6 linked regions of the Callithrix jacchus genome follow. The protein of the gene in region 5 purifies or fractionates together with the protein of the main gene of each other region. This does not show direct contact. Links are inferred from orthologs where the notes say so. Each region holds a gene or a part of one and is shown on either strand. Other genes may lie near its edges.

Region 1 (4,108 bases), on a different chromosome or scaffold from region 5:
TACTCTAGTCATCCTAAGAATTTACCCAAGAAAAAGGATCTAGAGGTGAAAATGTTTTTGTGTGTCTTCTGTAGGGAAAGGAGGAAAGCAGAAGAAAAGGGAAGGTGGTTGTTGGTCTCTTTTTTTTTGAGACAAGAGTCTCACTCTGTCATCCCATGGCATATGCACTGGCGTGCTCAGCTCACTGCAAACTGCCTCCTGGGTTCAAGTGATTCTCCTGCCTCAGCCTCCCGAGTAGCTGGGATTACAGGTGTGTGCCATCATGGCTGGCTAATTTTTGTATTTTTAGTGGAGACGAGGTTTTGCCACATGGTCCAGGTTGGTCTCAAACTCCTGACCTTAAGTGATCTGCCTGCTTCAGCCTCCCAAAGTGCTGGGATTACAGGCTTGAGCCACCGTGCTGGTCTGTTGGTCTCTTTTAACCCTAAAATTTTTAAGTTCTGCTTTCAAGAGCACAGCAGGGGAAGGGCTGGCAAACAGATTTACAAGTCAGACTGAGATCAACTTTAATCTTACATGTTTAATTTAATACCAAACACAAAGCAAACACGTTCATCATCTAGAGTACCATATTCCAACCCTACCTCAAATGCAGGAATGGGTCTCTATCTGGTATCTAGAGGATGATCACAGGAATGAAAATGAGGACAGAGGCATCGGTATCTTCTAAAAGTGGTTTCTAAAACCCCCCACCTGTCATGTCATAAAGCTCCCCTCCTGGTGCTATGACCCACCTCCAAGAGAAAGCCACAAGGAACAGACCAATAAGAGGGGTCCAGGGTGCTTTCTGTATTTCACTCACTCACTCTTATTTGCTAAGGAGCTCTAATAACCAAAAGAAATGGTTCTTAGAAGAGGAGGAATAAATCTCCAGAGAGCTGCTAGGACATACTGATAAAAACGGGGAGAAACAAAGACTGATAGTAGAGAAGTCCAATACTGCTGCTGAAGTTTCTCAGCCTAAATCCATGGAAGAGCCCAGGATTTTACTGCTCTGTCAAGTAAGAGGAGTTTCTGGGTCTTGTATGATCCTTCCAACTCTGACTTAAATGCACCATCTAAAAATCTGTCTATCTCTACCCCTAGGCTTCTTAGCTCTTCAGTCATCCTCATCATCCTCAATCTGAAATCGTTTCTTCTTCTGGATACCTGGAGCTCCCAATTCTGGCACTGTGGGAACAACAGGGGCGAGAGACAGAGAGAGAATATCTAAATATGCTAAGGGGTAAGGAGGTTGGTAGAGTTTGTCTTCAGGATTAGAGAAGAAAAAGAAGGTCCCATCAGATTCCCTACCTCTGTTACTGCCCTCATCTTCTTCCTGTTCCTCATCACTGTCCAGCAGTTGTCGCTTCTTGGGTGCTGCCTTCAGCGGCTCTTTACCAACAACAGTGTCTTCCTCTGCAATGACCGTAAATGACACAAAAAACAGGAACTCAATCCTCTTATTCTCAAAATACCCTGCCAGCCCTCTAGACCAGCATGCTGACAAGTTAATACTCAGAGGATGGCTGTTGCACTATTACCCTCTGGGGACGCCAGGCCTGCTTTCTTCTTGCGGGCTAGCAAGAGAGCTCTTAGGGCTTGAGCTCGATGCTCTTTATGGTGCTCCTCATCAGAGTCTTGCTCTCCAGGGACTTCAGGCTGTAGCTCTGGCTGCAGCTTCTGTTCCTCCTCTGGTTGACTCAAAGAAGCTGCTACCCTCCGGAGCTGGGTGGGACTCAGCTTGGCTGGAATTCGCCAGAAGGTTTCCTACAGGGCCCAAGAAGTTGAAAAGGGAAAGGACCAGCCTCTTGTTCCCCAGAGTTTGATATTCATTCAGTAAATATGACCCAACATTGGTGAAGATCCACAAGGGCTGTAAACTCTACTTGTTATAATACTTACTTATCCAATATATTCCCAATGCCTAGTATAGTGCCTGCTACATTAGTAGGTTTCCAGTAACTATAGGTTTTTTTGGTGGTTGGTTTTTTTTTTTTTTTTTTTTTTTTAATAAGAAGGGGTCTGCCTCTGTCACTCAGGCTGAGGTGCAGTGGCACAATCATGGTCCAATGTAGTCTCCATCTCCTGGGCTCAAGCTATCCTCCTGCCTCAGCCTCTCGAGTAGCTAGGACCACAAGGGTACACACCACTAAGCGTAACTATTTCATAATTTTTTGTAGAGACAGGGTCTTGCTATGTTTCCCAGGCCAGTCTCAAACGATCCTCCCACCTGTTTCCAAAAGCCACTGTGCCTGGCTATAGCTGTTAATTGAATAAATAAATATATAAATCCTGGGGATATAAAGGTGAATCAGGTATGATCCTTGCCTTCAAATAACTCACAATCCAACGGGAAAAAGAACAAATGTGCCATAATATTACAGGATTTTTTTTTTTTGAGGCAGAGTCTTGAACTGTTGCTCAGGCTACAGTGCCGCGGCAAAGCGATCTCAACTCACTGCAACCTCAGCCTCCCAGGTTCAAGCAATTCTCCTGCCTCAGCCTCCCAGGTAGCTGGGACTCTAGGCGCCTGCCACCACACCAGGCTAATTTTTGTATTTTTAGTAGAGACAGGGTTTTTGCCATGTTGGCCAGACTGGTCTCATGACCTCAGGTGATCTGCCTGCCTCGGCCTCCCAAAGTGCTGGGGTTACAGGCATGAGCCACCGCACCCAGCTGATACCACAGGATTGAGGCTGTATCACGGGAATGAACAAACTGCAGCTGCAAAAGTGACTCTTTACTTCATACATTGAAAGAGTAACAGAGACTGCTTCTCTGACAAGGTGACAGTTGAGCAGACTCTCGAAGACTGGGTAGAGGTCCATCGGTAAGACAGATGGAGTATGTATGTCAACTTGTGTGCATGGTTGCAGCCGGCCTTCCAATAGAGGGACTGGCCTGATTAACCATTTGGAGGCAGGAAGAATCCTACCACGGTGACTATGATGTAAAGTAGGTGTGTGAGTGGCATGGCAGTGAGGCTGCAAAGGTTTGCCAAGGATGGGCATGCCATTTGGAGTTTGTGGATTCTGTCCTGCAAGCAGTAAGGAACTATCAAGGGCTCTGGACATGGGAGTTGACCCTTCATATCCACAGGTTCTGGATCTTTGGATTCAAAATACTGTGGATTGACAATATTCTGAAAAAACAACAATACAACATTAAATAATAATATACAGCCTGGGCAACATGGCAAAACCTCATCTCTACAAAAAATTAGCTGGGAGTGTGAAGCGACAGTGAGCTGAGATCGAGCCACTGTACTCCAGCCTGGGCAATGGAGTGAGACTGCCACACACACACACACACACACACATATACAATACAGTATAACAATTGTTTACCTAACATTTACAGTATAACAATTATTTGCTTAACATTGTATAGGTATTATATGTAATCTAGACATGACTTAAAGTATACAAGAGCATGGACATAGGTTATTCACAAATACTACAAAAAGGGACTTGAGCATCTGTAGATTTTAGTATCTGTTGGGGGGTCATGGAACCCATCCCCCCTCAGATACCAAGGGACAACTATAATCAAAACATATTTTAGAAAGCTAAATCTGGGTCAGTATGGAAGATGGATTTAGGGGAAGAGGAGATTAGAGAGAGGAAAAGAAGACTAACAGAATGGCTGCTGCAGGAATCTTGGTCAGAGATGACAAGGCAATGAGGAGGACCACCATGACAGTGGGGAGGACCATGGTGGCATCTACAGTGAGGAAGAGGAGATGTATTTGGAAATAGGACGAACAAGCCTTGGCTGACACTGTAACTGGCAAATGTACCTGCCCAGAGGCGGGGGGCTGAACCCCTAGCTTGCGCAACAGCTGCTGAAACTGTTCATTTTCCATGGCTTCCTCATTTTCCTCTGTGAGTGGCACCAACGGAACTGCCTGGGAGCAGCCTAAGACAGGGTCAACAGTCACATGGTGAAGACATGAGGGAAGAACTGGTCCTCCGTCCCATGACCAGGTCTCCAATAGCACCCAGGGCTCTAGTCCTCCTAAAATCATCATCTGTCCACTCACCATCCTCTTCCCGATCATCAGCTGCTCGGATCAGGCAGTTCTGGAGCCACAGAAGCGGGGTAGAAAAGCCTAAGGAAATGAGGG
Region 2 (4,084 bases), on a different chromosome or scaffold from region 5:
TGGCCCCCAGATGTCCTCCAGCCTCCCAAATCTAGGGACAAAAAAAGACAGTCAGTTGTGCTCTATCTCCTCTCTGGTTGCACCTGCTTAATTTCTCCCCAGCTTCCTTGTTCTGAGGACGACTGCACCTTCTGAGCAACAGAAGATTCCAGCAGGAAATTAAGACCTTAAGACCTTTGATGAATGAAACAGGACTTGTCCTCAGGCCTTTCTCCTTTCAACCTTTTCCACTTTTGCCGTCCCAGGTCCTGAGGTAGTTCTCCCCTCTCCAGGCCATTAGACACCCATCTCTAAGGGGCGTCCTTCAAGGCTACCTCCTAGTGCAGGTTCAGCCCTGGACAGAACTGGAGAAGGGCAGGGCCCTGGAAGTCAGCCTGAAGATGGTGCTACTGAAGCCAGCTTCCTTCTTGTGCAGCAGCTGCAGGCCTTGGCAATCTGTTGGCATGGTGGACAGAGTTTCCCATTCCCAGTTAGGTCACAGATGGGAGAGAAACCTCCCTAGGAAGGAGTGAGCCATAGAAGAAAAAAAGCCAAGAATGAACACAGGAGTCAAGGGACTACCCATCACTGCCATCACTGGTCCTGAGGACTGCTACATGATCCTGTGCTGCAGTTTCTTTCCCTCATGGTTCTTCACCTTAGCTCCAGGGAAAGAGGCTCACAAACCCCCTATCCATTTATGCACCTTGTTCCCTTGGCTCTCAATTAGCTGGTACTATACTAAAGATGCCAACAATATGGCCCTTGCCCCATAATGATCTGCCCATTCGCCTTCTTCCCCTAGAAGAATGGCTCTGAGACAGCATGTATGTCTAATAAAATAACTTCAGGCTGGGCAAGGTGGCTCATGCTTGTAATCCCAGCACTTTGGGAGGCTGAGGCGGACAGATCTCTTGAGGCCAGGAGTTCAAGACCAGTCTGGCCAAAATGGTGAACGCTCATCTCTACCAAAAAATACAAAAATTCACCGGGCGTGATGGCACATGCCTGTAGTCCTGTCTACTCAGGAGGCTGAGGCATAATAACCGCTTAAACCCAGGAGGCAGAGGAGGTTGCAGTGGGCAGAGATCATGCCACTGCACTCCAGCCTGGACCACAGAGACCCTGTCTCAAAACAAGAAAACAAAAAAACTGTCCTGCCTAGGAAAATGGATTTGCCCAGAAATAAAATGACTTCAAATATTAAGAAAAGGTCTTACAGTGGCTAGGGACTGTTGTAAAAATTATCAAAAATGAGAGCTAGGACATGGGATAGCACTCCCTCTATGCAGTCCCTGGACTAAAAACTTACATGTGGCCAGGCTCAAGCCTGTAATCCCAGCACTTTGGGAGGCCAAGACGGGCAGATCACCTGAGGTCAGGAGTTAGAGACCAGTATGACCAACATGGAAAAGCCCCATCTCTACTAAGAATTCAAAATTAATTGGACATGGGGGTGCATGCCTGTTATCCCAGCTACTCAGGAGGCTGAGGCAGGAGAATCGCTTGAACCTGGGAGGCAGAGGTTGCAGTGAGCTGAGATCGTGCCACTGCACTCCAGCCTGGGAACAAGAGCAAAACAATGTCTGAGAGGGCGGGGGGGTCGCGGGGGAGCTGGTAGGGCTGGGCTAGGTGGCTCACGCCTGTAATCCCAGCACTTTGGGAGGCCAAGATCAGGAAGATTGAGACCATCCTGGCTAACACGGTGAAACCCCATCTCTACTAAAAATACAAAAAATTAGCCGGGCGTGGTGGCGCAGGCCTGTAGTCTCAGCTACTCGGAATGCTAGGGCAGGAAACTCGCTTGAACCTTGGAGGCACAGGTTGCGGTGAGCCGAGATCGCGCCATTGTACTGTACTCCAGCCTGGGCGACAGAGGAAGATTCCGTCTCAAAAACAAAACAAACAAAACAAAAACACCTTACATGCATCATCTCATTTAATCCACAAAAATCCGAGGCGGTGTTACCATTATCCCCAGTCTTGCAGATGAAGAGGCTGAGGCTAACTTTGTCCAAAGTCAGAAACCCAAGTTTCTCTGACTCTAGATCCCAAGCTGAGAGTCTTGCTCAGATCATCTCAGGACTCTTCTTTCTTCTTGCACTTGGGGTGCAACATGGAGCAATGAGGCCAGTAGTGTGTGACATACTGCACCCTCAGAAGAGGCTTCTGTTTCAGACCCCTTATTCTACAGAGGAAGGAACTGGTAGGTCGCACAGAGCCTGGGCCTGCTCTGCAACGGAATCGCAACGGGCACTAGAATTCTAGTCCAAGCCCCATTTTACAGAGCCGGGGAGCTGAAGCCCACAGCGCCTGGGGGCCTCCCGGGCTCCGAATCCACCAGCGGCTGAGCCAGATCCAGCCTCGGGCGCACTCACTGCCCTGCCCGATTCTACCTCCGCGTTCACCTGCGGCGCGAACCCTCCCCGCGGGCTGCCAGCGCCCGGGAGTACCTGTCCGCCACGCTCAGGGCCCTCGGCTCGAAGTGACCAGACGCTGGTGCAGGCGAGCGGGGCTCCGCGGGCCACAACCGGACCCCGGCCTCGCGGACCCGGGTCGCCTCGCCAGTCCCTCTCCTGAGAACGCCGAGGCCTCAGCAGCGTGTGGACGCCGGGACGCCGCCGAGAATTGGGAAGCGCTGGTCTCGGAGGCAAGGCCGGCTTGGTCTCCTCTCCTCAAGTCCCCTGCGCCGCCCCCCGCCCCCCGGACCTTCTGCAAACCGGGTCCCAGCCCCAGCGCACCTCAAGAAGAAACAACACGTTCGCGCTTCGTGGAGTCAAGCGGTCGGGACTCTAAGTAGGGGCGAGGTTCCCATGGCAACGAGGGGACACTCTTTGCGCCTGCTCAGAGGCGCTAGGCACGCTGGGAAATGTGGTTTCCGGGTTGTCCATGGAGGCTAACGGAACGGACGCAAGGTGGCGCCCAAACGTCGCAGTCGATGTGGGTAAGTCCCGGTCCCCAGCTCCCGGGCGCTGCGGGCGCGGGAGAGACCGCGAAGGTCTGAAAGATAGTTTCTCTGAGGCAACTGAGATACGCAGTGAGGAGACGGAGGCACAGTCTCTTCAGCGCGGTTGATTTTGCCGTTTGAAAAGTTGGCATGACGAGGGACTGTGCTGGCTAGCGCGAAGGCGGCCGCTTCTGAGGCCCCGCCCCAGCCTGGGCAGAGCCGGACGCAGAAGAGGGAGGACGCTCGGACTGTGGGAGCTGGTTCCAGAGGGACGCGCGCCACGGTCGTGCAGCAAGTGTTCCGGGTCCGGGCTGGGCGACCCCTCGCGCTGCTGAGGGGCTCCTGTGCCCAGTGGGAATTGAAAGCGGGCTCCGGGAGCAGCAGCCATCCGGACCCTCGCACTCGCGAGCTCCGAGCACTTCCGGACCCAGGGCCTTCCTTGGGCGGAACTGTGCATTCAGTTGACTGCCCGGGAGCCACCTTCCCCACTCTCGAGTTAGGCTCAAACAATGACAATCTAGAAACCTAGGATCTGGCCGGGCGCAGTGGCTCACGCTTGTAGTCCCTGCACTTTGGGAGGCCGAGGCGGGTGGATCACCTAAGGTCAGGAGTTCGAGACCAGCCTGTCCAACATGATGAAACCCCTTCTCTACTAAAAATAGAGCAAGGTGCGGTGGTGGGCACCTATAATCCCAGCTACTCAGGAGGCTGAGGCAGGAGAATCGCTTAAACCCCGAAGGCAGAGGTTGCAGTGAGCCAAGATTGCACTCCAGCCTAGGCTACAGAGAAAGACTGGGTCTCAAAAATAAAAATAAAAATACACATAACAATATATTTGATTACGTAAGCATGGGATACCTGGAGGGCCTCGAAGGCAGCTGCAGTCATTGCCTGAGTAGACATGAAGGACTGGAAGACAGAGTAGGAGTCAGTTTACTTTTCGTTTTATATGTTTCTTTGTTATTTTTTTGACCCTTTAGCAATTTCTATGAGCTTTGTGTACACAGAGGGTTTTTGTTTTGTTTTGTTTTGTTTTGAGACAGAGTCACCCTCTGTCACCAAGGCTGGAATGCAGTGGTGCCATCTCCATCTTGCAACCTCCGCCTCCCCGGTTCAAGCAATTCTCTTGCCTCAGCTTCTCAAATAGCTGGGATTACA
Region 3 (3,979 bases), on a different chromosome or scaffold from region 5:
TTAAGGGATAAGGGAGAAAAACCTAGGATGACTCCTAGGCTTTTGGTTGGTATGTTCAAAATAACATGGGAGAAGGAACAAATTCAAGGGCAGTAAATCAGGAGTTCTGCTTTGGATATGTTAATTTTCACTTCCCAGTATAGATGTTGAGTAAGCAACCTAATATAATCTGATCAGAAATATAAATTTGGGAGTTATCAGCATATGGATGACATTTAAAGCCATGAAATTAGGTAAGATTACTTGGGAAGAGAGCATAAATCAAAAGAGGGTTAAGGACATAGTCTGAAAGCACACTGGAGAACAGTCAAGAATGACTTCTAGATTTCTGGTTTGGAGAAATGAGTGAATATGGTGCCATTTACTGAGATATCTCTACTTCAGTGAATAAGAGAAAAATAATTTTTTGTTGTTGTTGTTAATGAATGAGAGCTTCTTACGTTGCTCAGGTTAGCCTTGAACTCATAGCCTTGCCTCCTCAAGAGCCAGGACAACTGGCGGGAGCCACCCCACGGCTCCCAATAAATTTTTTTTTTAATTTAAAAAAAGAAGTCTTGTGAAGGTTAAGACGTGAAGAATTTGTATTGGTATTGGATATGCTGAATCTTAATTACACATAGGACACTCAGTGAAACTATCAGTATACAGCAAATATACAGTTCCGTAGGAGGCAGGATTTGGAAAAACATATTTGGAGTCATCAAATAGCAGATGATAGTTGAAGGCAGGAAAGTGGAAAGGTCATTTACCAAGACTACGCAGAGTAGAATCCTAACAGCAAAAAACAATAGGACAAACTTTGTCTGAGAGACTGATGAAGAGCTGCCCATAATTAGAACACTGATCTCATTTTTTTCAATAGTCTAATTGCCGTAGTCATAAGGGAGAACATTTTGGAAGAAAAGGCCTTGATAGCTTGAATCTGAACCCTAGCTCTGATACCTGCTAGCTGTGCCTTTGGTTTTTCAACTTCTGTGACCCTGTTTCTTAAACAGTGATAACTCCTGTTCCATCCTATGTCATGGACATACTATGAAAATGGATGAGCTTGTTTCATTGAAGTAGTTGTAGCGAAAAAGCCATGAAAATTAAAAACTATTAGACAATTTTCTATAGGTCAATTTTTCTATTTCTCTTGGAATGGCTACAAATGGAAGATAACATAAGCTCTACTGATGAAACAGACTATATATAATCCAAGAACCAATTATTTTTATTAACAGGTCTCATGGAGGAAGACAGAAGAGGGAAGAGAAGTATTAATTCTACTTTAAAATGAATTAATTAGTAGAGCTAATTCTACTTTAAAACAAAGTGGGAAAAATATACTGAGCTTCACAGTGAGCCTGAAAGATAAAATCTGTAAAACAACTTCCTAAAATGATCACTTTTCTTCATCTTCTTTTAGAGAGGTATACGTTATTTTATAAACTGTAAACACAAAAGTATACTTGCCACACTAATAAAAAGTGGAAAAAATTCACACAGTCAAAAATAGTGATGCAGTTAGGACAAGAATCGTCCCTTCATTTATCCTCTTATTCATATATTAAGACTAGATTATTTGCATGGCCAACCAGTGGAAATGAACACAACTGCGCTGCAAAAAGAAAGGGAAGCAGCTATCCCATCGGCTTAATGTCAGTTTTGACTGTGTATGGAGAGTTTTCAAACCGTTTAAGAAATTGGGAAGCAGTTATTCCAACTGATCATTCAACTGCGGTAGTAGCACAAGCTCATTTATTTCTTGTTCGCAGTAGTTTAGAATTAAAACAAACAAAACAAAACCAGCCCTACTGAGTCTTTAGGCCTGGTTCAGGAAAGCCTGCCTGAGTGTTACAGGGGTGTGGCAGTCATCAACACCTCTCCCTCCCTCTTTCGGTAAGACACTGGTTTTCATGAGGTTTACAGAAAACAGGCATTTGCAAATGAACTATTAAATTGCCTCCAAATTTTGGCAACAGTCTGTGCACGTTAAGATTTTGTGGACACTGAGGTCTATCTCTCCAATTTCTGACTAAAATAACGTATCGAGGACTGGACGATTAATACGAAGGAGTTCACATCTTCAATATGTACTATGACTTCACTTCAAAGAAAATAACTGCCTTTTCCATCAAGTGATGTCACTTGCAGAAAATGAGAAGCGGTGATTTTTTTCCAAGGGCAGTTTGGGGACAAAATATAAGGCTAAAAACCAATTCCTCCACGAGTGATCACAAAGAACAGAAACTGATGAGTCAAGTCTCTCGTCTAAGGAAAGGGGTTTTCGAGAAGAAAATGAGTGTAGAAAAGTGACCATAAAGTGATCAGCAGGGACTCTTCCCTCGAGCTGCAGGAAGCAAACTCTCGGGTTGGGCGAACTCTCCGGCGCTGCTGAGGTAAACCCGGGCCGGCAGACGCCTCTCTCTCCCCTAGAATCGGCTTCCCGCAGGTTTGTGGCGACGACCCCACGTCCCCACGTCCCCACGTCCCCACGTCCCATCGACGAGCACTCTGAGGGAGAAGCGCCCAAATGAGCCACGGAGCATCTCCACAAGGGCAGCAGCTGGGGCTTCGGGGATCCGAACCACGGCGCGGCAGGAGAGGGGAGAGCACGTGAAACCCCAGCCGGGATCGTCAGAGGAGGATGCAGGACCCAGGATGGGCCTAGCCCTACCTGCCCAGCTCCCGCAGAGCCGGGATCATGGACGCCAGCTCCAGGCCAGGTTCCCCCATGCTGAGGCTGCCTGACACTCGTCAAACACGCCGACGCGGGTTCCTGGCGTCTCCAAAGCTACCCCGGCCGGAAGAGAACGGCGCCCGACGGAGCCTCGTGGGGGCCAAAACTCTTCCCGGAAGCCGCTATTGGCCCCGCTTGCCGGGCCCTGCGTCTGTTTTGTAGAGGACCCGGGGGAAGCCGGGAAGCAGTTAGGGGGCGGGGCAAGCGGGCGAGCGCGCGCCGGTCGAACTTCCCTGGTTGGGTTCAGGACTTAGTTCTCAGCACTAAGCGAGCAACGTTTGTGAAGTTTTCGTCTTGAGCGGCCAGACTGCTGTTCTGAAGCCTGGGAGGCACAGCGAAGCCAGACCCCCGAATCGGGAGAGGCTAGGGGCTTGAGGGCTGCCAACCCAGAATCTCGCTTCACAAATGTGAGAACTAGGACAGTTCAGCGAGTAAAGGCCAAAAGTAGACTCCGTTTCCCCAGAGTAACGCTGTCACATTTTAAAAGTTTCTCACTTCGCCACTACTCTTGTCACGCTGTTGAGAGAGAAAGGGCAAAAGGTGGGCTCTCCCTGTTTGTTTTTCTTTTTAAGCATTTTTTTTCGACTTGAAGTCGCTCTTAGGTTTCCGTGAGGACCCTGCCAACATATAATATTTAAAAATGGGGTTGGATTATATTTGTGTCTCATCAGAGCAGCAGTACTGTGGAAATGCCACCATTACAGGCATCCACAACCTGTGATTTATTTTTTATTTACTTATATTTTTTGAGACGGAGCCTTGCTCTGTCACCAGGCTGGAGTGCAGTGGCGCAATCACGGCTCGCTGCAACCTCCACCTCCTGGGTTCAAACGATTCTTCTGCCTCAGCCTCCCGAGTAGCTGGGACCACAGGCGCGTGCCCCCACGCCCGGCTAATTTTTTTTGTATTTGTAGTAGAGACGGGGTTTCAGCATGTTGGCCAGGATAGTCTCGATCTCTTGACCTCGTAATCCGCTCACCTCAGCCTCCCAAAGTGCTGGGATTACAGGCGTGAGCCACCATGCCCGGCCCTGTGATTTAATTTTTAAAGTAAATCAATGGATTTGGGGAATATACATTTTCTCGAGAATACAGACCAGCATTCCCTAACCTTTTTGGCATCAGGGACCAGTTTTGTGGAAGACAATTTTTCCATGGACAGGGAGGTGAAGGGAGGTTTTCGGGATGATTCAAGCACATTACATTTATTGTGCACTTTCTACTATTGCATTGTAATATGTAATAAGTCATTATACAA
Region 4 (4,116 bases), on a different chromosome or scaffold from region 5:
GATAATACCTGAAAAGGCCCAAGCCTCTGCCTGCCACCAATCGCAGCTGATGGTCTCAATCCAGAGGGACCACTGGCACCTCATCCTGCCATCTGTAACTCCTGGCCTAATTTCTCCCACCATGCTAATGCTCATCAGTGTTTCTAAGACCTTATTGTGCATGGAAATCACCAAGGGATTTGTTAAAAATCCAGATTCTGATCCAGTAAGTAGTCTGGGCCCTGAGATTCCGCATACAAGTTCCCAGATGATGGTGATGCTGCCCTGTGGACCACTCTAGCAAAGGACTAAAGTAAGGCTGTGAAGACTCTCCCTCCTCCCTCCCCCTCCTCCTCCTCCTCCTCCTCCTCCTCCTCTGTACCCATGGCCTAGGCTGCAGAAATCTGATAGGATACACCAGTGACAGGGAAAGATACAGCAATTAGGCTTCGTTTGGGGGTCACTTGTCCCCTAGAATAGGCTTTCTGTAAAGCAGGCAGAAAGGTCCATAGAAAAGGTCAGCCAAGTAGGATGTCCCAAAGTTGCCCCTGCTGAGACCAGGCAGATCCAAAGACAACTCCCAACTTACATGATACACCCAATGGACCACACATCCACCTCGAAACTGTGCCCTTTCTTGCTCAGCACCTCGGGAGCTATGTAATTAGGAGTCCCGCACAGGGTCTTCTTCCTCTCCCCGTCATACTCGACTTTGGTTGCCAGTCCAAAATCCCCTGGGACAGAGGGAGGAAGAATGGGTACTTAAATGCCAGCCTCTGCCATCTGTCAATGCAGAAAGCTAGTTAAGGTTTGACCATCAAGAAGCAGAGCCATTTGATCCCACAAGCCTCTGCTCCTTGTATGCCGCAAGGCTTGCCCAGAAATCTTCCTGCCATGCTGACCTCAGGGAGGTGCCTCCAGTGACCCTTCACAACCCTACCCCTTAGAAAGGGGCTATGCTTCAAAATGGGAACTGACAGGGACAGCAAAACTCCAGTGCCTTCAAGAATCAAGCAAGTAACCGCCAAGACTTGGCAAGCCTGTGAAGAATAGGGAGGAGTAGAGACCTTGGCAAACATGTCAGAAGGGACAGCTGCTTTCCAGCCCAGCAATGGGCTGCCCTAAGAAAATGCCGCCCTCGTATTACTGGAGCTTTCACCTGTTTAAAAGGAGCTCTGAATCAAAATTTTTATGTCAAGCTTTCCACTTTAAAAAATAGAAACAAACTCAAATTATTTGAAAAAAAGTCCTGTATTGGGGCTATAATGTGTCTTCAGGCAAGATACTGACTTGTGGGCGTTTGTTTTAAATTTCTGGACAAAGGAGAGAATTATAGAAGCAATCAACGCCCAAACTTCTCACCATCCATCCTCTTCCTTCCTCCTGGTCTCCTTCCTATCCTTTCTCCCAGCCTCCTCCAAATTCCAGCCTCTTGTAGGGATGTCAAGCACCCTGCAGGCTCAGCAACTCACCTATTTTCACCTCCAGATCTTCATTCAGGAAAAGGTTACCCAGCTTGAGGTCTCGGTGAATAACTCGGTTTTGGTGCAGGTACTGGCAGCCAAGCACAATCTGCCGCAGATAGTATCTGGCCTCAGGCTCAGTCAGGGCTTTCCTCCTCTTGTGCAGCTCCAGGAGAGACTGTGGGTGGGAAGGAGAGGGCAGGAGGGATGGGAGGGTGGTGCTGAGGCCGGTGGGGAAGGGAGAGGGTTACTACTAGGTAAAGGAAGAACAGGACCTAGACTCCTGGCGGATCAAAGTGGCGTCTTGGTGGGTTTCTCTCCTTTCCTAAGCCCCCACCCCATTCTCCAGGACAATTGCTATCTGGACCCTCCTTTAACACTACTCACAACCATTCGCTGCACCCCTTCCCCTAGCTTCCTCTCTTACTTGGGGGTCCTCTCTCAGCCCCATTCCGGAAGCTCCGAGTGCCCAGCAGCAGATCCCTTTCCTGATTCTTATTTCCCCGGGAAGGACCGAAGTCTGGATTGCAACTACCTCCTTACTGACCAGACCCCACTCCGGAAGCTCCCAGTGCGCGGCTTCACTAACCTTGGGACTCCTCCCTGGGCACTCTAGGGCCCTAGAGTCCATTACCAGCACCCCTCCCCCCAGCGTCCAGAAGCTGACTTCCCGGTCAGCAACCTGACTCAGACTCCACTTCACTGGAACCCACTCTTCTAGCAGTTCCAAGAGGCAAGAAGCCCTTACCAAAGACACTTTCCATACCTAAGCGGGAGGCTCCCAGCACCCTTCTCAACCAGCTCCAAGTCCCAGGCACTCCCTTCCTGGGCACTCTTTCCAGCAGCTGCTCCAGGTCCAGGCTCTCCAACTGCCCCGCAGGCAATTCCAGTTCCCTAGCAGCGACACTCACCCTCCGGCGGCATAGCTCCAACACCACGAACACGAAGTCGTTGTCCTCGAAAAAGCCGTGGAATCCTACGACGTGCTGGTGGGCCAAGCTGCGGTGAATGGATATTTCCATGGACATCTTCTCTTTCTGGTGCGGCTTGAGCAGCAGAGACTTAGGCACAATCTTGCCCGCGAACACCTCCTTGGTGTCCGCGTCCGATATCTCGAAGCACTTGGCAAAGCCGCCCTTGCCCAAAAAGCGGCCCCGTACATAGCGCCGCCGACTGCGTGGGTCCACTAGGATCTCTGGGATCTCTTTCGCTGGTGGGGCCGCCGCTGGAGCTCCGGGAACCCCGGCTTTCCCAGGGTCGGCCGGTGCTCGTGCCAGCTTTCCCGCAGTCACCGCCGCACTCATGCTCTCGGAGCTGCTCTGCCGACCTCGATCCGAGCAGAGGCTCCGCTCCTCCCCGAATTCAAACGCGGCGCTGGGAACGTTACAAAAGCCTGCGCGCTACTGATTGGTCGCGGGGATTTAAAATCCAAACCCGCTCGCCGCGCGGAACCATGGGAGCGCCCTGCCCCGCAGCCGCCTTTAAACCCCGACCCAGCCGGGGAAAACTTGATTGACAGGGACACCCGAACACGTGGGATAGCCTGGGAAACCAAACCCGGCGTGGCTACGGAGACCCGGCCCGAGAAGGGAGGAATTTCTTTAGGGTTTCTCCCTTTCTTGGGCGTCCGGGAAAGCTCCTGCAGTTCACTTGCGCCTCCTCCATTAAGCTTTTCCTTAGACTTTCCTCCACCTCCACCCCACCTAGTATGTAAGCTGAGTAGGGACCTGGCACGCCAATAAAGTAGTTTGGGAGAGCCTTAACACTCGCCTCCGATGCTGTCAGCTCTCAGCCAAGCCACCCCAAATGAATTAAAATTAAGTAAAAGTGTGCTTGCCAAACATACCTTCATGGCCAGTACTGTAGTCCTGCTCCTTCAAATAACTGCTGCTTTTGAGCTCCTCAAGATTATGGAGCAGCGCTGTTTAAAGGAGGGGCCAGGGAACAGCAGCATCCCCATCACCTGAGAGCTTGTTAGAACCACAAAGGCAAATGTTCAGGCCCTACCCTAGATCTCCCGAGTCAGAGTCCGCCTCTCAACAAGACTGCTCAGGTGATTCCTACACATCCTGAAGTTGGAGAAGCACAGTACCAGAGCCCCCCATGATGCAACGAAGCTGTCTGGCCTGCTCGCTGCTGAATTTCCCAGGGCCTAAAATGGAGGACACTGTTTCTTGGTCAAAGGGAGGTAAGGTTGGAAAAATGCCTAACAAACTCGTAGGTCATAGCCAATGTGTCTTGCGGGGTTTTGTTAGGCCTCCTTTTTTTTTTTTTTTTTTTTTTGGAGATGGAGTCTCCCTCTGTCGCCCAGGCTGGATGGAGTTCAGTGGCCCGATCGGCTCACTGTAACCTTGGCTTGCTGAAAGCAATCCTCCCACCTCAGCCTCCCAAGTAGCTGTGATTGCAGGAGCCCACCACCAGGCCCGGCTCATTTTTTTTTTTTAGTAGTGACAGTTTCACCATGTTGGCCAGGCTGGTTTCAAACTGCTGACTTCAAGTGACCTGCCCTCCTCGGCCTCCCAAAGTGCTGGGATTACAGGTGTGAGCCACCGCACCCAGCCCTTCTAAAACATTTACAGCATTTAAAAGAAGAGCTCATAAAAATTAGGATATGTGGCTTTTCCTGAAAAAATTACAAGTGCTAGCTACTCTGTGCCTACGTGCTTTCAGTTTG
Region 5 (3,500 bases):
ACCCCAAATTAAATATTAATTCAAGTTGCTGGGCATGGTGGCTCAGCACTCTGGGTGGTCACAACAATGGAAGGAACGCTTGAGGCCAGGAGTTCAAGACCAGCCTGGTCAACATAGTGAGACCCTCTTCTCTAAAAAAATAAAAATAAATAAATAAATAAATAAATAAAATTAACTCAAGTGATCCCAGCATACAAAAAGGAAAGCTTTCCCCCCACCTTTTTTGGAGATGAGTCTCACTCTGTCACTCAGGCTAGAATGCAGTGGCACAATCTCGGCTCACTGTAACCTTCACTGCCCAAGTTCAAGCAATTCTCCTGCCTCAGTCTCCCGAGTAGCTGGGATTACAGGTGTGTCACCACACCCAGTTAATTTTTGTATTTTTAGTAGAAATGGAGTTTCACCATGTTGGCCAGGTTATTCTCAAACTCCTGACCTCAGATGATCTGCCTACCTCAGCCTCCCAAAGTGCTGGGATTACAGGCATGAGTCACTGCACAAGGCCCCAAAAGGAAAGCTTTTAATACTTAACAATTGTTATCATCACCTGTCTTCCCCAGTCAGAAAACAATACTATGGAATAAGGGCAAGAGGCTCTTCTACAAATGCCTTCTTCAACAAAGAATGAAAATAACTCAGAAAGACCTCTGCCTCCTTGAGAATTTACTCTAGACCTCAATCTGGCCAAGGTTAAGACTGTTTTTTAATCTGATAGAGAAACCTAAATAAACAACAAAGATAAAATTTCCTGCTAATACAAAGCCATTTTTAATATTAGCATTATTATATTAAAACATATAAACAAACAGGTGGAAGCCAAGCCAATGGTATTCTGTCAGTACCACTGAATATCTGTATTGATATATAATAATCAATTCAATGGTTGATAATTCAATGGTTGAATATGAATAATCATATTCAACATCTAAAGATATTCAATGGTAGTGACAGAACTAAATGTATTAAGATTTAGGCATATATGAGGTAGTTGCCCTTGCCATGCCCCAAAACCTCTTATACAATTGAACATGCTTATTATACTTATTCAAATCTGACTTTTTCTCTCATATTCGCCATGACCAAGTAACAAAACAAAATAATTGCCAGAAACCTCCTGATTTCCTCCTTCTTCCTCTTCTTTCTCCTCCTCTTCCTCTTCTTTCTCTACCTCCTCTTCTCCATCTTCCTCAGACTCATCTGTCATTTCTTCCTCTTCTTCCTCAAACCCATCTTCATTATCTAATTTAAACAGTGCTTGGCGCTTCTGGCGTTCCTCAATCCTTCGGAGTTTCATTGCCTCTTGCAGTTTAGCTTTTAGCACCTGAAGCTTTTCACCTGAACAGAAATATGTAGAAATGCTCTAGACATAATACAATTAAGTATGCATTTTAGGTACCTCCAGAAGTATTCTAGTCACATCCCAAAAGGAAAATCTGAGACCTTAGTATTCTGGGCTTTTTTGTTATTTGAGTACATGAGGATTATGAATTGAAGTATCAAAGAGAACTTCTGCTCCCTGGGAAAGTATACTACTCAGGGATTATAAAATCATTGTTCAAAAGAGAAAAAAGGGGGTTAGGGAGTGGAGCTTCAAAAGAGAAAAAAGGGGGTTAGGGAGTGGAGCTTCAAAAGTCTGTGGCCCAAAAGCCATGAAGAAAAACACTGATAAATTTACCTGTGTTAAAGAAAAAGAGAAACAACTCAGGCGTAAAATGGGTAAATGATATGAACTGGCAGTGCACATAAAAATAAACATATATTGTTGATAAACAAATTAAAAGTAATGCTTAACCTCACTGCTAATTAAAGAGCTCCAAATCAAAATAATGAGATACCATTTTCAACATGTTCGGCAAAAATTAGGTTTGATAATACCAATTATTAACAAGAGGAAATAGGAACTCATACACTGTGATTCAGAGTAGAACCATTCTGAAACACAACTGGATGACATATATCAGAATGTGATATATATCACAACAATTCTACTGTAAGGAATTTTGCAACTACCAACATATATCTGGTACTATCATGTAACACTGGTATGCAATAGCAAAAACTGGAACTTTAATGAATCGTGTTGTATTCATTCAATGGAATATTATGTGGCCATTTAAGAAAAGCCTTAAAAACAACATAAGGTGGATCTGAGCTCTGGAGTTAGGTGGTCTGGATTAGACCACTGGTCCTACCATTTATTAGCTGTGTAAACTTGGGCAAATGGCTTAAGTGCTCTGCATATCAGTTTCTTCATATACAAAATAAAGATACTAATGTTATTTACCTCATAGGGTTGTAAGGATTAAATGAGATAAAACATAGAAAGCACCTAGAGCAATGCCTGACAGGAAGTAAATGTTCAGTGCTACACACATTCACAAAAAATGGTACATGCATAAAAATACACACAAGAAAAAATACACGTAAGGACACACAAGAAATTGTTAATAGTTATCTTTGGGAAGACTAATTTTTCATTTAATACCTTTTTTTTCTGTGTTTAAAACTGTTTTCCATGTGATACATTACTTATGATTTCAAGGTAGGGGCAAGAGCTGTCCTTAATACATTTTTAAAACAAAAAGTATATTACAAAGCAGAATGCATGTTATGATCACATTATTAGGTGGGTTGTTTTGTTTTGGGTTTTTTTGAGACAGGATCTCTCTCTGTTGCCTAGGCTGGAGTGCAGTGCCACAATCATGACTCATTGCAACCTCAACCTCCTGGCTCAAGTTATCCTCCCGTCTCAGCCTCCCAAGTATCTAGGGCCACACGTGCATGCCACCATGTCTGGATAATTTTTTTTTTTTGTAGAGATGAGGGCTCACTATGTTGCCCAGGTTGGTCTCGAACTCCTGAGCTCAAGTGATCCTCCTGCTTTGGCCTTCCAAAGTTTTAAGATTACAGGTGTGAGCCACTGCACCCGGCCCTGTTTTTGTTTGTTTTTGTTTAAATACATATACATATGTGCAAAGAAGAGAGTTTAAAAGGATACACAATATGGTTATAGAACCTGTCTCTGATAGATTAAGTTTTTTGTTTATTCTATATATTTTTCTATAATGAATATTTATTATTTTTTATAAGACAAATGATATTTGAAAAAACAAAGTCAGCTTGTCCACCCCACACCTCTAGGTGTGCTACATGTGAATCATGGCAGAGATACTCCTGTCCAAAGTCTCCAAGGAAAAATATTCTATAACTTTTCATTATAAGGTTTTCAATAGCTATGAAGATATGCTAGAATACAAAGCAAAAACCAAAAAACAAAACCTGTGGGCTCAAATACCTGGTTTTGTGTGGCTTGCTCCTTCCAGCTTCTTAGGTGCCAAAGTCACAGATACCACATCTGCTTTTAGCTCTTCCTTTCCATCAGTGCCCACGTCTTTCACTATGACGTTCACATTCACTGTATGACCAGCCCTGGGTTTGGCTGCTGGATTAGCATGCTTCCAGAAACGCTGCTTCAAGGCTTCCAGTTCTAAACCCAAACA
Region 6 (3,500 bases), on a different chromosome or scaffold from region 5:
TTTTTAGTAGAGACAGGGTTTTACCATGTTGACTAGGCTGGTCTCAAATTCCTGACGTCAAGTGATCCACATGCCTCGGCCTCCCAAAGTGTTGGGATAACAGGCATGAGCCACTGTGACCAGCCAATTTTTTTTTTTTTTTTAAAGAGATAGGGTTTCATTACATTGCCCCGACTAATCTCAAACTCCTGAGCTCAAGTGATCCTCCTGCCTTGGCCTCCCAAAGTACTGGGATTATGGATGTAGGATTAGGATGTGAGCCACTGCAAGGGCTGCCTCCTTCAAACCTCACACTCTTCTGTCACCTGAATTTACTGAGCACAGGCTGACCAGTAGAGGTGGGGAGGCTGAAGCTGTATCCTCTTCCTACACTTCCTTCCCCTGTTATGTGAAGCTCCCAGAGCTTCATAGGAAGAAGACCAGGGTCACACACATTCCCAAAAAAGGGGCTGTGTCTGACACTCCTGGTGGGGACGAGGGAATTGCTCTCCCCGTGAGAGGACAGAGCTGCTTGTGTGGCACTGACCAAGGTAATACTCCCACACAGCTGCTACAGGGGCTACGTACCACAGCATGTCATTCAGGTCCTTGGACAGCATCCATGCCAGCTCAAACATCACCATGGCTGACTGTAAGGAAGCAGAGAAGTCTAAGATTCACGGAAGGGGCACATGTTGGGGTTAGGCCATGCAGCCAGCTGGACCTGAGCCTGCAAGGCCCTGATCAAATGCCTGCCGATGGAGGATCTGCTCAGCCAGGGCATGTGGGTGGATTCCAGCCCGACATGTGGGATGAGTACACGCTAAACTGAGAGAAGTGACAGTAACTTCTTTGCTAGCTAAAATTACTGTCTGTATACTTTATCCTACAGCAAGGGAAGAATTCACCTCGTGGGGGCAGCCCAGATGTGCAGCACTGGCTGGGGCCTCTTTGCATCTCCCTGGGGTCCTCAGTGATGCCCAAGGCAGGTGCTGAATCCCAGAGGTCAGGAGACACCATCACCTGCCTGGTTCTGCATCTGCACACTCCTCCTGCCCTGCCTGGCTGGCGTCCTCAAATGCATTCCCAGGAATGCCAGGTGAGGCAGGGAGGGCCTGGGTCCAATTACTTGAATATTAAAGAGGGAGAGGCCTCAGGACCTCCTGTGAGGAGGGTCTTTCCACCAGGGCTGCCCACATCGGAGAACTCCCCTAAACAGAGGGTCTGGATTTGGTTAGAGACCTCAAGGAAGACTGGTGTCTGACCAGAAGACCCTAAAATCCCCTTTGCTATAGGATGCTGGGCTTCCTCCAGGGAGAGAATTTCCAAGGGAACTGGCCCCATATATCAGGAGGGAGATATCTTCTCTCTCTTTTTTATAATTAGGGAGATATCTTCCCTAAGCGAGCATCAACGGCCCCCCCACCAACTGCTTAGAATTTTCCATTTGCAAGGACTGAGCAGAGAGAGCAAAAGGATGATCCTTCAAAGGACAATGGAACCTTGACAATAAAAGCGACACTGGAAAAACAGTGCTTAAGAGTTCAAGGTCCCAGTATTAAATTCTAAGACTAAATACAGGATATTTTATTAAAACTTATTGTCTAGGGCTCCTTAAGGCCCCGAGCTCTACTTAACACTATCAGCACAGGTTTTCTACCTAAATTCTGTTTTGTAAAAGACACACTGATGTGCCATATAAGTCTGTAGCGCTTTATCTTCTTGCACAGAGATTAGTACAAACTCATTCTGTATTCTTGATGATGAACAAAATAAAAGCTGCTCTTCTTTGATCACCTATTGGGTGCAAATGACCATCTTAATAAGACAGAGGTTTAAGGTCACAGAGTGGGAAGCCATGGAGCTCAGATTCAAACCAGGCTTTTGTAGCTCTGAAATCCATGTTTCTTCCTCACATTTGAGGACACTGACCCCTGGAGTCAGAACTTTACGGTCAGTTCCACCTATTTGTACTTACCGACGTCCCATGATATTCATACTGCTCGTAGTCAAAGAGGATGTCTCTTCTGTAATGACATAAAATTCAGGTCTTCATCAGGAAGTAGCAGTGGAGGAAGCCAAATGTTTTGGGAAAATGCTAAACCCGACAGCATTCAATGCAATGAAATGCAAAGTAAATCATGGTACTATTTGTTTTCATATATTGACTTCTCTTCTCTTTTTTTGGTGAGGGAACAGGTTCCTGCTCTGTCTCCCAGGCTGAAGTGCAGTGGTATGATCACAGCTCACTGTAGCCTTGACATCCTGGTCTCAAGTGATCCTTCTACCTCAGCCTGGTAAGTAGACAGGGTTATAGTATGTGCCACCACACCCAGCTAATTAAAAAGAACTTTTTTTAGAGAGACAAAGCCTCACTGTGTCATCCAGGTTGATCTCAAACTCCTGGGCTCAAGCAATCCTCCCACCTTAGCTTCCCAAAGTACTGGGATTATAGGCATGATTCACCACACCTGGCCAAGTATTGCCTCTTTAGTGGAATGTATAACTATAACCTTGGGAAATTAACACAAACTGCCAGTGGCAATGTATGATGTAAAGTGGTATAGCCCCAGAATTCCATTTCAGAGAAATTGTCCCATAATCACAATTAAAAGGAAAAAGCAAGACAAAACTTGCTGTGTGTACAAAGTAATTCACTGAAGCCTTATTTATCATGGCAAAATACTGGAAGTGACCTACATTTCGAAAAGAAGGGAAACTGCCAGTTAAGTATTATGCTCTTTAGAAAGCCTATTCAGAACTATTTTAAATGGTTATATTAAGCAGAAAGATGGCAAATCAGATGTATATCATGTAAAACATGCACAAGTATGTATAACCCAGGAATAGAAATCCAAACCCAGAATCTCTTTGAATTAGGCAGTATGATTATGGATTATTTTCACTTTTCTTTCCTTATACTTACTGAAATGGTTTTATACTATCCTTTTTTGTTTTTTTTTTTCTTTATTGCATTTTAGGTTTTGGGGTACAAGATAGTTGCATAGGTACACACATGGCAGTGTGATTTGCTGTCTTCCTCCCCTTCACCCACATCTGGCATTTCTCCCTATGCTATCCCTCCCCAGTTCCCCTCCGCGCTGTCCCTCCCCTATTCCCCGCAATAGACCGCAGTGTGTAGTGCTCCCCTCCCTGTGTCCATGTGTTCTCATTGTTCATCACCCACCTATGAGTGAGAATATGCAGTATTTCATTTTCTGTTCTTGTGTCAGTTTGCTGAGAATGATGTTCTCCTGATTCATCCATGTCCCTAAAAAGGACACGAACTCATCGTTTTTGACTGCTGCATAATATTCCGTGGTGTATATGTGCCACATTTTCCCAGTCCAGTCTATCATCAATGGGCATTTGGGTTGGTTCCAGGTCTTTGCTATTGTAAACAGTGCTGCAATGAACATTCGTGTGCATGTGTCCTTATAGTAGAACAATTTATAGTCCTTTGGACATATACCCAGTAATGGGATTGCTGGGTCAAATGGAATTTCTATTTCTAGGTCTTT

Evidence for each region.
Region 1: the proteins of CLSPN (region 5) and TIMELESS purify together in Homo sapiens (affinity purification with western blotting; 4 studies listed by BioGRID). This does not show direct contact. The link is inferred for Callithrix jacchus from reciprocal best matches to the Homo sapiens genes CLSPN and TIMELESS.
Region 2: the proteins of CLSPN (region 5) and RAD9A purify together in Homo sapiens (affinity purification with western blotting; 3 studies listed by BioGRID and IntAct, with this or other methods). This does not show direct contact. The link is inferred for Callithrix jacchus from reciprocal best matches to the Homo sapiens genes CLSPN and RAD9A.
Region 3: the proteins of CLSPN (region 5) and ATR purify together in Homo sapiens (affinity purification with western blotting; 3 studies listed by BioGRID). This does not show direct contact. The link is inferred for Callithrix jacchus from reciprocal best matches to the Homo sapiens genes CLSPN and ATR.
Region 4: the proteins of CLSPN (region 5) and PLK1 purify together in Homo sapiens (affinity purification with western blotting; 3 studies listed by BioGRID, with this or other methods). This does not show direct contact. The link is inferred for Callithrix jacchus from reciprocal best matches to the Homo sapiens genes CLSPN and PLK1.
Region 6: the proteins of CLSPN (region 5) and CDC45 purify together in Homo sapiens (affinity purification with western blotting; 4 studies listed by BioGRID and IntAct, with this or other methods). This does not show direct contact. The link is inferred for Callithrix jacchus from reciprocal best matches to the Homo sapiens genes CLSPN and CDC45.

What each region holds. Positions count from the first base shown.
Region 1 is NC_133510.1:63,246,508-63,250,615, reverse strand, and holds the end of TIMELESS (protein timeless homolog), read right to left. Parts: intron 4,094-4,108; coding exon 4,025-4,093; intron 3,901-4,024; coding exon 3,782-3,900; intron 1,750-3,781; coding exon 1,524-1,749; intron 1,399-1,523; coding exon 1,294-1,398; intron 1,171-1,293; coding exon 1,100-1,170; 3' UTR 501-1,099; downstream 1-500. UniProt on the Homo sapiens protein: Plays an important role in the control of DNA replication, maintenance of replication fork stability, maintenance of genome stability throughout normal DNA replication, DNA repair and in the regulation of the circadian clock.
Region 2 is NC_133511.1:124,400,623-124,404,706, reverse strand, and holds the start of RAD9A (cell cycle checkpoint control protein RAD9A), read right to left. Parts: upstream 2,801-4,084; 5' UTR 2,433-2,800; intron 32-2,432; 5' UTR 1-31. UniProt on the Homo sapiens protein: Component of the 9-1-1 cell-cycle checkpoint response complex that plays a major role in DNA repair. The 9-1-1 complex is recruited to DNA lesion upon damage by the RAD17-replication factor C (RFC) clamp loader complex.
Region 3 is NC_133518.1:42,028,992-42,032,970, reverse strand, and holds the start of ATR (serine/threonine-protein kinase ATR), read right to left. Parts: upstream 2,801-3,979; 5' UTR 2,719-2,800; coding exon 2,660-2,718; intron 1-2,659. UniProt on the Homo sapiens protein: Serine/threonine protein kinase which activates checkpoint signaling upon genotoxic stresses such as ionizing radiation (IR), ultraviolet light (UV), or DNA replication stalling, thereby acting as a DNA damage sensor.
Region 4 is NC_133513.1:24,285,675-24,289,790, reverse strand, and holds the start of PLK1 (serine/threonine-protein kinase PLK1), read right to left. Parts: upstream 2,801-4,116; 5' UTR 2,747-2,800; coding exon 2,354-2,746; intron 1,621-2,353; coding exon 1,452-1,620; intron 714-1,451; coding exon 569-713; intron 1-568. UniProt on the Homo sapiens protein: Serine/threonine-protein kinase that performs several important functions throughout M phase of the cell cycle, including the regulation of centrosome maturation and spindle assembly, the removal of cohesins from chromosome arms, the inactivation of anaphase-promoting complex/cyclosome (APC/C) inhibitors, and the regulation of mitotic exit and cytokinesis.
Region 5 is NC_133508.1:72,333,674-72,337,173, forward strand, and holds part of CLSPN (claspin), read right to left. Parts: intron 3,488-3,500; coding exon 3,296-3,487; intron 2,069-3,295; exon of another isoform or gene 1,336-2,068; coding exon 1,112-1,335; exon of another isoform or gene 1-1,111.
Region 6 is NC_133502.1:211,188,444-211,191,943, reverse strand, and holds part of CDC45 (cell division control protein 45 homolog), read right to left. Parts: intron 2,007-3,500; coding exon 1,958-2,006; intron 630-1,957; coding exon 568-629; intron 1-567. UniProt on the Homo sapiens protein: Required for initiation of chromosomal DNA replication. Core component of CDC45-MCM-GINS (CMG) helicase, the molecular machine that unwinds template DNA during replication, and around which the replisome is built.